Linked DNA regions of Pelodiscus sinensis. The protein of the gene in region 3 purifies or fractionates together with the protein of the main gene of each other region. This does not show direct contact. Links are inferred from orthologs where the notes say so. Each region holds a gene or a part of one and is shown on either strand. Other genes may lie near its edges. The genes, in order: MAP2K1, myosin light polypeptide 6 and ras GTPase-activating-like protein IQGAP1.

The links.
Region 1: the proteins of ras GTPase-activating-like protein IQGAP1 (region 3) and MAP2K1 purify together in Homo sapiens (affinity purification with western blotting; 3 studies listed by BioGRID, with this or other methods). This does not show direct contact. The link is inferred for Pelodiscus sinensis from reciprocal best matches to the Homo sapiens genes IQGAP1 and MAP2K1.
Region 2: the proteins of ras GTPase-activating-like protein IQGAP1 (region 3) and myosin light polypeptide 6 purify together in Homo sapiens (affinity purification with mass spectrometry; 3 studies listed by BioGRID and IntAct, with this or other methods). This does not show direct contact. The link is inferred for Pelodiscus sinensis from reciprocal best matches to the Homo sapiens genes IQGAP1 and MYL6B.

What each region holds. Positions count from the first base shown.
Region 1 is NC_134724.1:4,697,718-4,701,462, reverse strand, and holds the start of MAP2K1 (dual specificity mitogen-activated protein kinase kinase 1), read left to right. Parts: upstream 1-1,217; 5' UTR 1,218-1,796; coding exon 1,797-1,876; intron 1,877-3,745. UniProt on the Homo sapiens protein: Dual specificity protein kinase which acts as an essential component of the MAP kinase signal transduction pathway.
Region 2 is NC_134729.1:4,098,218-4,101,962, reverse strand, and holds the start of myosin light polypeptide 6, read left to right. Parts: upstream 1-1,533; 5' UTR 1,534-1,636; coding exon 1,637-1,828; intron 1,829-3,745. UniProt on the Homo sapiens protein: Regulatory light chain of myosin. Does not bind calcium.
Region 3 is NW_027465934.1:153,153-156,897, reverse strand, and holds the start of ras GTPase-activating-like protein IQGAP1, read right to left. Parts: upstream 2,297-3,745; 5' UTR 2,292-2,296; intron 1-2,291. UniProt on the Homo sapiens protein: Plays a crucial role in regulating the dynamics and assembly of the actin cytoskeleton.

The DNA.
Region 1 (3,745 bases), on a different chromosome or scaffold from region 3:
TTTAATTATAAATACAATACTTTCAATATATAAAGTATGCAGAGTAATGATTTTATATGGGGATTAAATTAAGTTGTTCTTCATGTAACATTAACACTGTAGGCTGATATGCAGAGTAAGTATTTATGGTAGACATTTGCTAATTTAATTGCTACAGACCTCATAATTCCATTTCACAGAACTTCTGAAAAATTATAAACAAAAGGTTACATACTCATAGCAGATTAATTTACTAGATGTTGACAGTTCCTTTTGTAATCCCCTTTTAAATACAAAGCAGGCCTGTACGCAAGGGGATAGGAAAGCACCCCCTTGAGTCCCCCAAGTAAGTATGCTCAGGCTGGCCAGGAGAGTGCTGCCTGAGCCTCCCTTGCCCATGCTCTGGTCTGCTGGGAGAAGGGGGGCTGATTTCCCTGCTTACTTGGGGGACCAGAGGGGGGTGCATTCACACCCTTGCAGACCACATTTACAAGAAAGCACCCCCCACAGAAATTTCTGCCTATGATCCTGTAAAGCGCACAAATGATTAAACGACTGTCCTCTAGTTGTGGTGCAAGTAACCTAATGATGTTCTAGTGACACAGAGCCTAAGATTCACCCTTACATATTCTAACGGTTTGGAACATTTTAACCCCTCCCCTCCCAAACTGGCCAAGAAATGATTGGAAGGCAGGGGAGAAGAACAGCAGAGCTGTGAGTTTCCTGTTGCCTTTCTAGTTACAAACAGAGTAGGTCATGATGAGGAAAAGTCTAAAATGCTCTGCTTTTTGAAATATGCATCCCATTGCTCTTTCACAGAGTAGACCCCATCCCATGCACAGCTCTAGACTGTCCTCCAATGCTCATAGTCACAACCTCCCCATGAGTTCTACACTCCTAGCATCTGAAGAAGTGGGTTGTACCCACGAAAGCTGGTGATACCATCTACCTGTTTTGTTAATCTTTAAGGTGCTACTAGACTATTCGTTGTTTTTAACCTCCCCATTGTTTTGCTCCATTCTGGTGACTTCCGACGGGAATCCTGTCCTGCTCTCACCCCCCTCTGTGTCACCTGACGATCCCCTCCGTCTCTTTTCGAGCCGGGGCTGCGCGTTTTGCTCCTGGCTTGTGTCTGACGATCCCCTTTCGGGGCCCAGTTCTCAACCGGAGCGCGCGTGTGAACCGAACGCGGAGTGACTCCGGTGCGTGTACACGAGGAAGGGGGGGATGGGAGGTGGTGAGAAGGGAGGGAGAGAAGCCCCGAGCTCTCGTGGCGTGGCCGCAGGGAAGATGAGAATCCGAAGCAGGCCCGCGTTTGACTCAGAACCCAGCCCCGGCTCCCCAAGGAGCGAGTCCCCGGCTCGCCCCGGGCGCACACCTCCCCCGCGCACCCGAAGCGAAACTCCGGGCAGAGGAGCAGGCGGGTGCTTGCAAAAGGCGGCCCTCCCCAGTGCCCATGAGCAGCGGCTCCACACTTGCGCACTGGGGCGGGCCGAGGCTTTGCACATGCACAGTAGCGAGCAGGGACGCGGTTTGAGCTCGGGCAGGGTCCGCTCTCCCGGCGCCGCTCGGGGAACTTCGGACTGCTCAGGCGGGGAGCGGCTGCCGGCCCCGGGAGCCGCGCTGAGCGCCCGGAACGCGGCTGCCGGCCAGGGAGCGGCCGCCGGCTGACCGGCGCAGGAGCCCAGAAGCGCTAGCAGGGAAGATCGCCTAGTGCGGCGGGAACTGCCGGAGGAGCCCCGCACTCTGCCCGGCGGGAGGGAGCCCCCGGAGCTGGGCATTTTCGGGAACTGACGAGCCATTCTTCTTACTGCAAAATGCCTAAAAAGAAGCCGATGCCAATTCAGCTGAACCCGGCTCCAGATAGCTCCACCATCAATGGGACCAGCACTGCAGAGTGAGTACAGCCTCCCTGGGGCTTGGGTGTTACTCCTGCCTTGGAGGAGAGAGGGGTGGGGCAGATACAACCCAAGATTCGCTCCCCTGCTGTGTCTCTGGGGGACCGTGCTCCTAAATCTCTTAGTCTGGGGATAACGGGAAACATTTCTGCACATTCTCCAGGACTCCAGCAAAGCAAAGCGAGACGATGGTGCTTAACACGAGCGCCTCAATCTCTGTGTCTAAAAAATAAAAAACACAGGAGGTGTTACAGGGTACTGTCAACAGGATCTTTTTTTTAAAGGCCACTGTTACAAAAGGTTCTGTTAGAGCAGCCTTTCATTATCAAGGCTTAATTAAAAAAAATCAAAATAATCCAGGGTGGGTTTTTTTTGCCCCCTTGTTAATATTTGTGTCTTTTCAGAAAGGACAGTGAATTTGGCGACACAAAATTCTGTCAGATGCATAAAGTAAACAAGGTGAAAAATAATTTTATAACTTCAGTCACAGTTTTTAATTCTGGTAGATACAAACATTTTAGATGGAAATGTTATTTCCATATTAATGGTATCTTTTACACGTGCATGTACTATATGATAAGTACTTAGCAAATGTCAAGTACTTTTTTCCAATAGGAATATTTTATATATGTAAAAAAGAGTAATTTGCTCTGGAAATCAGAAAGTCATTCCTCCTTTTTATTCTATAACAGACTGCAGTCCATTTTAGAAAATCTTTTCTTTCAGTCACCTCAGCTGTCACATTTGATTACAAATAATACTCATGTGGAAACAAGATGCTACACTTTTTGGGTATAATGAAAACATTGCAAAAAAATCAAGAGGGAAGTACCGACTAGCTGATTTGATCCTTTTTTTTTAACAACAATAACAAAGATTGCAGTCCTTAAAATTATGGGTTACCTGTGAATTTATGGGTAACAAAACATGCTTGCTTGGGAAGTCTGTATTTAAATTATCTGTAGTGTAAAAGAATGAAGAATTACAAAAGAGTTTGAGTTTGCTAAAGGCAACAGGTTGGCACGCATCATTTCATTCTTAGCCTGAGGTTATGAGAGAGAGAAACAGAGGTGTTGAAATACCTACAATCCCTGGAATACAGGTTGCTATCCCAGAAAGGTCAGTGTGACCCTTCTGCTTTGTTAGGGAAATTAAATTAAGTTTGTGTGTGGGTTTTTCAGAGGACATCTGAAATGGAGGTTCCATCAGTTCTGTTAATCATGCGGGGCCGATGCCCCGCAATTGGTGACGGGTTTTCAAATGAGCTTGGTTGCCATTGTTACCTATTTAATACTCTAATTTTCAAACTTATGTAGGAGCTAGTAGCTCCCACTGTGATATTTATAACCAGATTTTCAGAAGCACTCAGTGTCCATTGTGCTGATCTTCATTACAAATCTAGCCAACCACCCTGGTGCCTTAATGGGAGCTGATTTCTTCTGAAAATCTGTCTTGGACAGCAGGTGCTGAACTCTTCTGAGAAGTTTGGCCTAAGTGTCACCTGGGTTCTGCCCTGGATTGTGTTGTAAAGATTAATAAGATACATATCTAAATTTTCCTGTACAGGGATCTTCATGGCTGTTACAAACATAATCTGATTTAACATTAAATATCTGTGAGTGTGGGATACGGTTATCCCCATTTTACAGAGAAGCTGAGACACAGGCCAAATTTATTTATTTTGACACCTAAAATTAAAAAGCAGGTATCCATTGCATCTCCCCAATGTTCTTTCTTTCAAGGTTACTCATTTTAGTCCCAGAATTCCATACAACATTGCAACAAGAGAAGTGAGTGGACTCCAAATTTGAATGCAAGCTATTTACACCAAAAACAAAGATATATGAACCTGAGGTTATACAGAAAAT
Region 2 (3,745 bases), on a different chromosome or scaffold from region 3:
CGGCCCTGTTTCACTGGGGAAACTGAGGCACAGGGTGGGCACAGCCCCACCCAGGGTGCAGAGCTGGGGGAGGGGGGAATGAGCTGGCGTGGGAGACAGTCAGGCCCTGCCCCCACCCCTAAGGATTCATGTGTCAGGGCAGGGGAGCCAGTTTCACGGATATGAAGGGGGAATTGCATCCTCCCCACCTAGTGCCAGGCCGGGATCCCCCCCCCCCAGCACCCTGTCAACAAGGGGAAGCGCTGGAAACTTCGTGGCATTCAGGTGCCCGAGTCACGTTTCAGCCGGTGGCGCTGGGCCCCGGTCCCTGCTCAGCACCGCGGGCGCCCTGCCAGGCTCGTTAATAATAATCTACGGAGAAACCCGCTTCATGGGACTGCAGGGCAGGGGGGGCACGTCGGGCCGTGAGCCAAGCCCTAATCAAACCGTGACGGGGGAGCAGCCAGCTGGACTTTTCCATCAACCCCTGCTTAGCCTGCAGGGCTGGGCCCAGGGCCAGATCAGGACAGGCCCTTTTGTTTCCACTCAGGGTAATTTCCAGGTGCTAATCAACCCACCCAGGGGCCGAGGGACTCTCACGGCGCTGCAGCCACCTCTGGGGTGTGCCCCCAGTAGCTGCTTAGAGCTCGGGGCACCCCGTGCAGAGTGCCGGATGCCGGCCGTACCTCACAGCAGCATATGAGAAGGGGTAAATCCTCGGCTGAAGCCACCCTCCCCAGTCACAGCCAGTACCCCCCTAACACACACACACCCCCACGTTCAGTGCCCCAGGACTGTGGCCTACAGCACCCAGCCACGGACCAGGCTGTCTGCCCAGCTTTGACAGAGCGGTGTCCCCAGCCCATCGCTGCTACCCCTGCCCGTCCCTGGACTTCGGAGGGGCTAGAGACGCGGCCCAGGCCTTGCTGCGTGGCGCCCGGACGCCTGGGTTCTAATCCTGAGGGGGGGAGGCCGAGGTGCTAGTGCAGGAGCAGGGGGGCTGCTGACCCACAGAAAAATCAGTGGGGGGGCCACAAGTGACGTGGCCCCCCACTGGGAAGGTGACAGACACGTGCTACGTTCGAGCCTGGGGCGGGGGGTGCTCAGCCTAGTAGATTTTGTGTGTTTCAGCCCCATGATGGAGCAGTGCGGGGGGGGGGGGGCGCTGAGGTTCCCCAGCCCTGCACTGGTGGCTTGTGGAGGAGCCCAGATGCAAGGGGGGCCGGGGGAGAGGCTGGGAGTCAGGACTCCTGGGTCCTTAAGCCGCTGCCCCCTGTCTCTGGCCCGGCCCTCACCTTCACCAGCCCTACGCTCATGCCCCTCCAAGCCTGCTTGGGCGGGGGGGGGGGGCATTTCCTCTGGCAGGCGGCCTGGTTCTCTGGTGCATGCTTGGCATGGCTGCTCCCGGGAGCTCACCTCTAAGAAAAGCCCTGGAGTTGGATGGCGGGGGCGGGGGGGGGGGGCTGCCACTTCTGACAATGAATGATGCTCTCCGTTTAGCCCCCCCTCTCCCCCAGCACTGCCCTTATCTAGCGCGCCTCCGGCCTGACGTCACCCCGGGCTATTTAAGCTGGGCCAGGCAGGGCAGCCCCAGGCTGGGACTTTGCCACGGCCCCACAGCCGCCTCCGCCTGCACGAGCCGCCGGGCGCAGCCGCCATGCCCCCCAAGAAGGAGCTGCCGGTGAAGAAGCCGGTGGCTGCGCCAGCCAAGCCGGGTGCCAAACCAGCCATCGCAAAGCCAGCGGCTGCAGCAGCGAAGCCCAAAGCCCCAGAACCGGCCCCGGCCCCGGCCCCACCCCCGGCCCCGGAGAAACCCAAAGAGCCGCCGATCGACCTCTCCAAAGTGGTGGTATGTGGGGTCGTCACCCGGGGGGGGGGGCAGGACTGCAGCTGAGGGGGGGTTCCCCTCAGGTGGTAGCAGCACCCCAAATAGAAACCCACCCTGCCTGCCATGTGAATGGGAGAGGATACCCCAGCCTGCACCGCGCTGCCCACTTTGCCCAGTGCTGGGCAGATAAGAAAACACCCCTGGGACTAGCACCCCTCTCCACCTGCTTCCCCGTGGCCCCGAATACTGCCCCTCCCCCCAGCGCCTGCATTTGCAGTGGGTGGGATGGCACCCCTCCCCCACATGCTCCCCTGATGGTTGCTGGAGGGCCGGGGGCTCCCCCAGGTTTCATCAGGGACAGAGGAGTGAACACCCCCCCTCCTGCAGTGAAGGCCACTATTCTTCCCTTTTCAGATGGGTAAACTGAGGCACAGGTGGGTGCTGCGATTTGCCCAATGTAAACCAGTGGTAGAGCTGGGACATGAACCCAGGAGTCCGGATAGCCCTCCTCCCCCCCCCCCCCGTTAGATCCCACTGCTGTCCCAGAGCTGGGACCAGAATCCAAGAGTGCTAGCTTCCAGCCCCCCGGTCTATCCTCACCCGCTTTCCAGCGCTTCACAGCAGAGCTGGGACTGAAGCAGGGGATGGGAGGGGTCCGTGGAGCAGCTTAATCTAACGGAGACTCATCTAAGCAACCAGCTCCTAGACAGTGGCCAGGAAGGGTGGGAGGTCTAGTGGTTAGAACATGGTGGTGGTGGTGGGGGAAATCAGCGAGTCAGGTCTCCTGGGGTCTGTCCCTGGCTTTGGAAGGGCAGTGATGTCTAGGGGTTAGACAGGGGGATTAGGGAGGCAGGATTCCTGGGTGCTATCCCTGGCTTTGGAAGGGCAGTGATGTCTAGGGGTTAGACAGGGGGATTAGGGAGGCAGGATTCCTGGGGTCTGTCCCTGGCTTTGGAAGGGCAGTGATGTCTAGGGGTTAGACAGGGGGATTAGGGAGGCAGGATTCCTGGGTGCTGTCCCTGGCTTTGGAAGGGCAGTGATGTCTAGGGGTTAGAGAGGGGGATTAGGGAGGCAGGATTCCTGGGTGCTGTCCCTGGCTTTGGAAGGGCAGTGATGTCTAGGGGTTAGAGAGGGGGATTAGGGAGGCAGGATTCCTGGGTGCTGTCCCTGGCTTTGGAAGGGCAGTGATGTCTAGGGGTTAGAGTGGGGGTGGGGACGCTGGGAGCTAGGACACTGAGAGCTGGTGTTATTCCCAGCTCTACCATGGCTTTGTTTCCAGCTCTTTCCAACAATGGCCAGAGCCCCTTGCCAGCGAGACGGCGGTGGGGGGGGGGCTGTTAGACAGTCACAGATGGGGGCCCTGAGCTCAGGCCAGGATAAATTTAGCCAGTGAGCAGGCCCCTGTTATTTTAATGACAGGGCTGGAATGGGCCTGCCTTCCCAGGCAGCCGGCTCGGGAACAGGTGGCCGCGGGTGGGGGGATTAGCACCCCCTTTTCCAGGCAGATTTATTTCAGCCCCAGCGCCGGGCACTGCTTTGCCAGGCCGCCACCTTCTGTGTGAAGGGGGTCGGGTTGCGGTGGCGGGGGCCGGGGAGCCCCACCCGCCAGGCCTCTGTGCAGGGGACAGAATGCAGCAAAATTCCTGAGGCAGTGAGGTAGGGCCCCTATAAAGAGTGTGACCAGGGGGCGATCAGGCCCTTATATGTATTCAGCTGCATGCCCAGCCCAGCGCCCCCTGCTGGCCGAGACCGGGCCTGGTGTCCCTATGACCCTGAGCCAGGGTCTCTGCCCCATCCCCATCCCCACAGCCCCCCCAGCTGGGGCAGGAGCAGACTCAGCCCTCATCTGATCTGGATCAAAACTTACAGGCCCTTTCACCATCAGCATCACACCCATCCTGCCCCCCACCTGACCCCTATGCCATGGGACACATTGCA
Region 3 (3,745 bases):
AGGTCTCCTCCGGGCGGGCTGTGTTCTCCTCCCTCCTGGCGGTCGCTTGGATATAGGCACAGTCTGCAACACGGGCGCATCGGGCTGCCTCAGCAGGGTTCTGGGGTTTGCCACCAGGTCTCCTCGGGGCGGGCCGTGTTCTCCTCCCTCCTGGCGGTCGCTTGGATATAGGCACAGTCTGCAACACGGGCGCATCGGGCTGCCTCAGCAGGGTTCTGGGGTTTGCCACCAGGTCTCCTCCGGGCGGGCCGTGTTCTCCTCTCTCCTGGCGGTCGCTTGGATATAGGCACAGTCTGCAACACGGGCGCATCGGGCTGCCTCAGCAGGGTTCTGGGGTTTGCCACCAGGTCTCCTCCGGGCGGGCCGTGTTCTCCTCTCTCCTGGCGGTCGCTTGGATATAGGCACAGTCTGCAACACGGGCGCATCGGGCTGCCTCAGCAGGGTTCTGGGGTTTGCCACCAGGTCTCCTCCGGGCGGGCCGTGTTCTCCTCTCTCCTGGCGGTCGCTTGGATATAGGCACAGTCTGCAACACGGGCGCATCGGGCTGCCTCAGCAGGGTTCTGGGGTTTGCCACCAGGTCTCCTCGGGGCGGGCCGTGTTCTCCTCCCTCCTGGCGGTCGCTTGGATATAGGCACAGTCTGCAACACGGGCGCATCGGGCTGCCTCAGCAGGGTTCTGGGGTTTGCCACCAGGTCTCCTCCGGGCGGGCCGTGTTCTCCTCCCTCCTGGCGGTCGCTTGGATATAGGCACAGTCTGCAACACGGGCGCATCGGGCTGCCTCAGCAGGGTTCTGGGGTTTGCCACCAGGTCTCCTCCGGGCGGGCCGTGTTCTCCTCCCTCCTGGCGGTCGCTTGGATATAGGCACAGTCTGCAACACGGGCGCATCGGGCTGCCTCAGCAGGGTTCTGGGGTTTGCCACCAGGTCTCCTCCGGGCGGGCCGTGTTCTCCTCTCTCCTGGCGGTCGCTTGGATATAGGCACAGTCTGCAACACCGGCGCATCGGGCTGCCTCAGCAGGGTTCTGGGGTTTGCCACCAGGTCTCCTCCGGGCGGGCCGTGTTCTCCTCCCTCCTAGCGGTCGCTTGGATATAGGCACAGTCTGCAACACGGGCGCATCGGGCTGCCTCAGCAGGGTTCTGGGGTTTGCCACTCAGCTGGAACGGGGCAGGAATCAAGTTTTCGTCTGCAAGTCTGGTGTCCTAGAGTCTCGATTTTAAGGGTCACTGCAGGTTGGTTCCCGGTGGTTTCTGCTTCCACCACGGAGGAGCTGGCAGGAAGGTGGCACTTCCGGCCCTTGGCCGGCACGGGGGGGTTGCCACTGTGCTTCAGGGACCACAGCCAGCCGGTGCCGTGGGGCAGAGCTCTCCACTGCCTGTCACTGGCCCCCTGCTGACCTCCTGCAGGGCTGCTGCAATGGCTTCGCCTGGGAACGACGCCGAGGAGGCCCAGTGCCTCCATTGGTCCCGGGGCTCGCTCCTTGCTTTGCGGGGCCGGAGGCGTCTGCTCCGCCGAGGGACCCTTGCGGGGCGGAGAGAAGCAGAAGGTCTCTCCAGGCCCCAGCCGCCAAGCAGGCAACGCGGGAGGGGCGGTGAACACGGTGCCCGCCAGCCATGGTAGGCCCCACTGGAAAGGGCTAGTCTGGCGCAGTCTGAGCGCCCTAGGCGGCTGCAACGCCGGTGTATGAGCAGCAGTTACAGCATCGAGGTCTGTGTAGGCACGTCAGGGTCAGCTCTAGGCTCGTGTCCTGGAGGCTGACACCGGGGACCAGGCTCCTCCTGGAACCGCTGTGGCCGGTGATCCACGCCACGCACTGTGCGAGCAGGCGCGGTGCCCGTGTGCGCCCGTACGGACGGTTGCTCAGATGGGCCCGTGGACTTAGGAGATCCTGGTCAGGGTGAGTGGCGCGTGCCGTGGGACTCTGCCCAGCGGAGGGGGGTAGCGGGGCTCGCTTACCCCGATCTGACTCCTGGCGGCTGCGTGCCAGAGCGGGGTGCCCACTCCTCCCTTGACTGAGTCCATTGCCACTGGGACAGGGATTCAAGGGGGGCTGGCACCGGCAGCCAATGTGTCTTGTGCCACTAGCAGACCCTCTGGCGTGGCTAAGGGTCCCGCTCCTGTCCGGCTGCTCCACTCTACGAGCTGGACCTGTGAACCAGAGGGGGCCGAGAGCTGCCTGATGTGGGTCCACGTGGGGCTCGCCCACAGACTTAATCCTGTTGCTTAGGGGGCTGCAGCAAAGGGACCCGCACCATCCTCTTCGGGTGTAGGCAGACAGCTCCAAAGGAGCACAGTGGTCTGAGGCGTCGGTGCTTGGCGCCATGTCGGGTGAGTGCACCGGCGCCGGAGTCAGGGCTGGCTCCAGCAGGAGGGCACGGAGCCAAATGTTCCACTCCTGAAGCTGTTGCTGATGAGAGCTCTGCCCAGGCAGCACGAACAACTCCCGTGTAGGGCACTGACTGGCACAGGTATCTGCGGGGGTCACAAGATTTGAATGCCGAGACTGGGGCATGCCCCGACCCAGGCAAAGTCCCAAAGGGGGCCAGAACCCCCCCCCCCGTTGCCTAGCCGTGTCCTACAAGAGCAGGGATCCAGCTACACAAAACAAGGAAGAGTCAAAATGAAGGCGGCTACAGTGGGTAGTGGAGCAAAGCAGTCGCGTGCCCCATCACGGGCTCATCCCCAGTGAGGAGGGGGAGCACGCGGCAGCCCGGCTATCACACCACAGAGGTGCCACTCCATGGGCCGCCAGGGGACAGTCTGCACAGGGCAGCACGCACCCCACTGGGGAATGCACATGAGCAAGCGCTGGAGCCCTTGGAGGACAACTCCCATCTGGATGCATCATCTCCGGCTGGTTCTCCCCACGACTCACTGGAGGACAGCTTGGACCCTCTTTGAGAGGCAGGTGTTTTCACCTTCCGCAGCTCATTCTACCACTTGCTTTGACCACGCTAACGGGACACACCCTGCTGCAAACGTTTCTAGCTTCTTTTTTATCTCTGATTCTTTAGAGAGAACTCACGCAGCTGGCTCAAGAAATTGAGAGAGAAGAAACTGAAGGCAATACAGACGTTATCCATCTCCGGAGTCCATAGGAAGCTCTGTTCCATCTATGGCAATATCTCATTGAGTTAAAAAGTAAGTTTTTAGCCAAGATTTGGACACTTTGGACTGCAATCCTCTGGTTTTAGCTGCGAATGTCTTTTCTTCTTGGCTCCGCGTACAATGTTCTAACTGAAGTGGTTTTAAGATCGGTAGGTCCCTCTTCGCAACCCAAAGTGAATACTGAATTACTGGGGTTTTTAATTCCCTTGGCTTTTGAGACGCACCTCTCCCGTGTTTAGCTACAAACATGCCCTAGACCCTCCACACAGACCACCACAACGGCCGGGCTGTCGGAGGCCAAGGCTTGGGTCCTTGGGTGAGCTCTAGCAGACACAGGAAGGAGACCAGCGAGGTCTCCAGCAGGGGCTCTGTCAGAGCCGCCTGGTTTGTCCAACCCCCTCTTCCCTCGAAGTGATCCTGCCTCTTCTTATAGTCTTTGTTGCTAGGAGACCAAGGCTAATTCTAGTCACATCTGCACAGCAACAGCCATTTCCTCATCCCTTGCTGGTGGCAAGGGCCCCTTGCGGGAAACCAGATTATTTCTGCAAGCTCCCCTCCGCCAATATCGCCACACACGGGCGCTTTCTTCGCACCGTGAGCAGCCCCTTCTGCCCCCGGCTCGGCAAGGAAAAGCCAGTCCA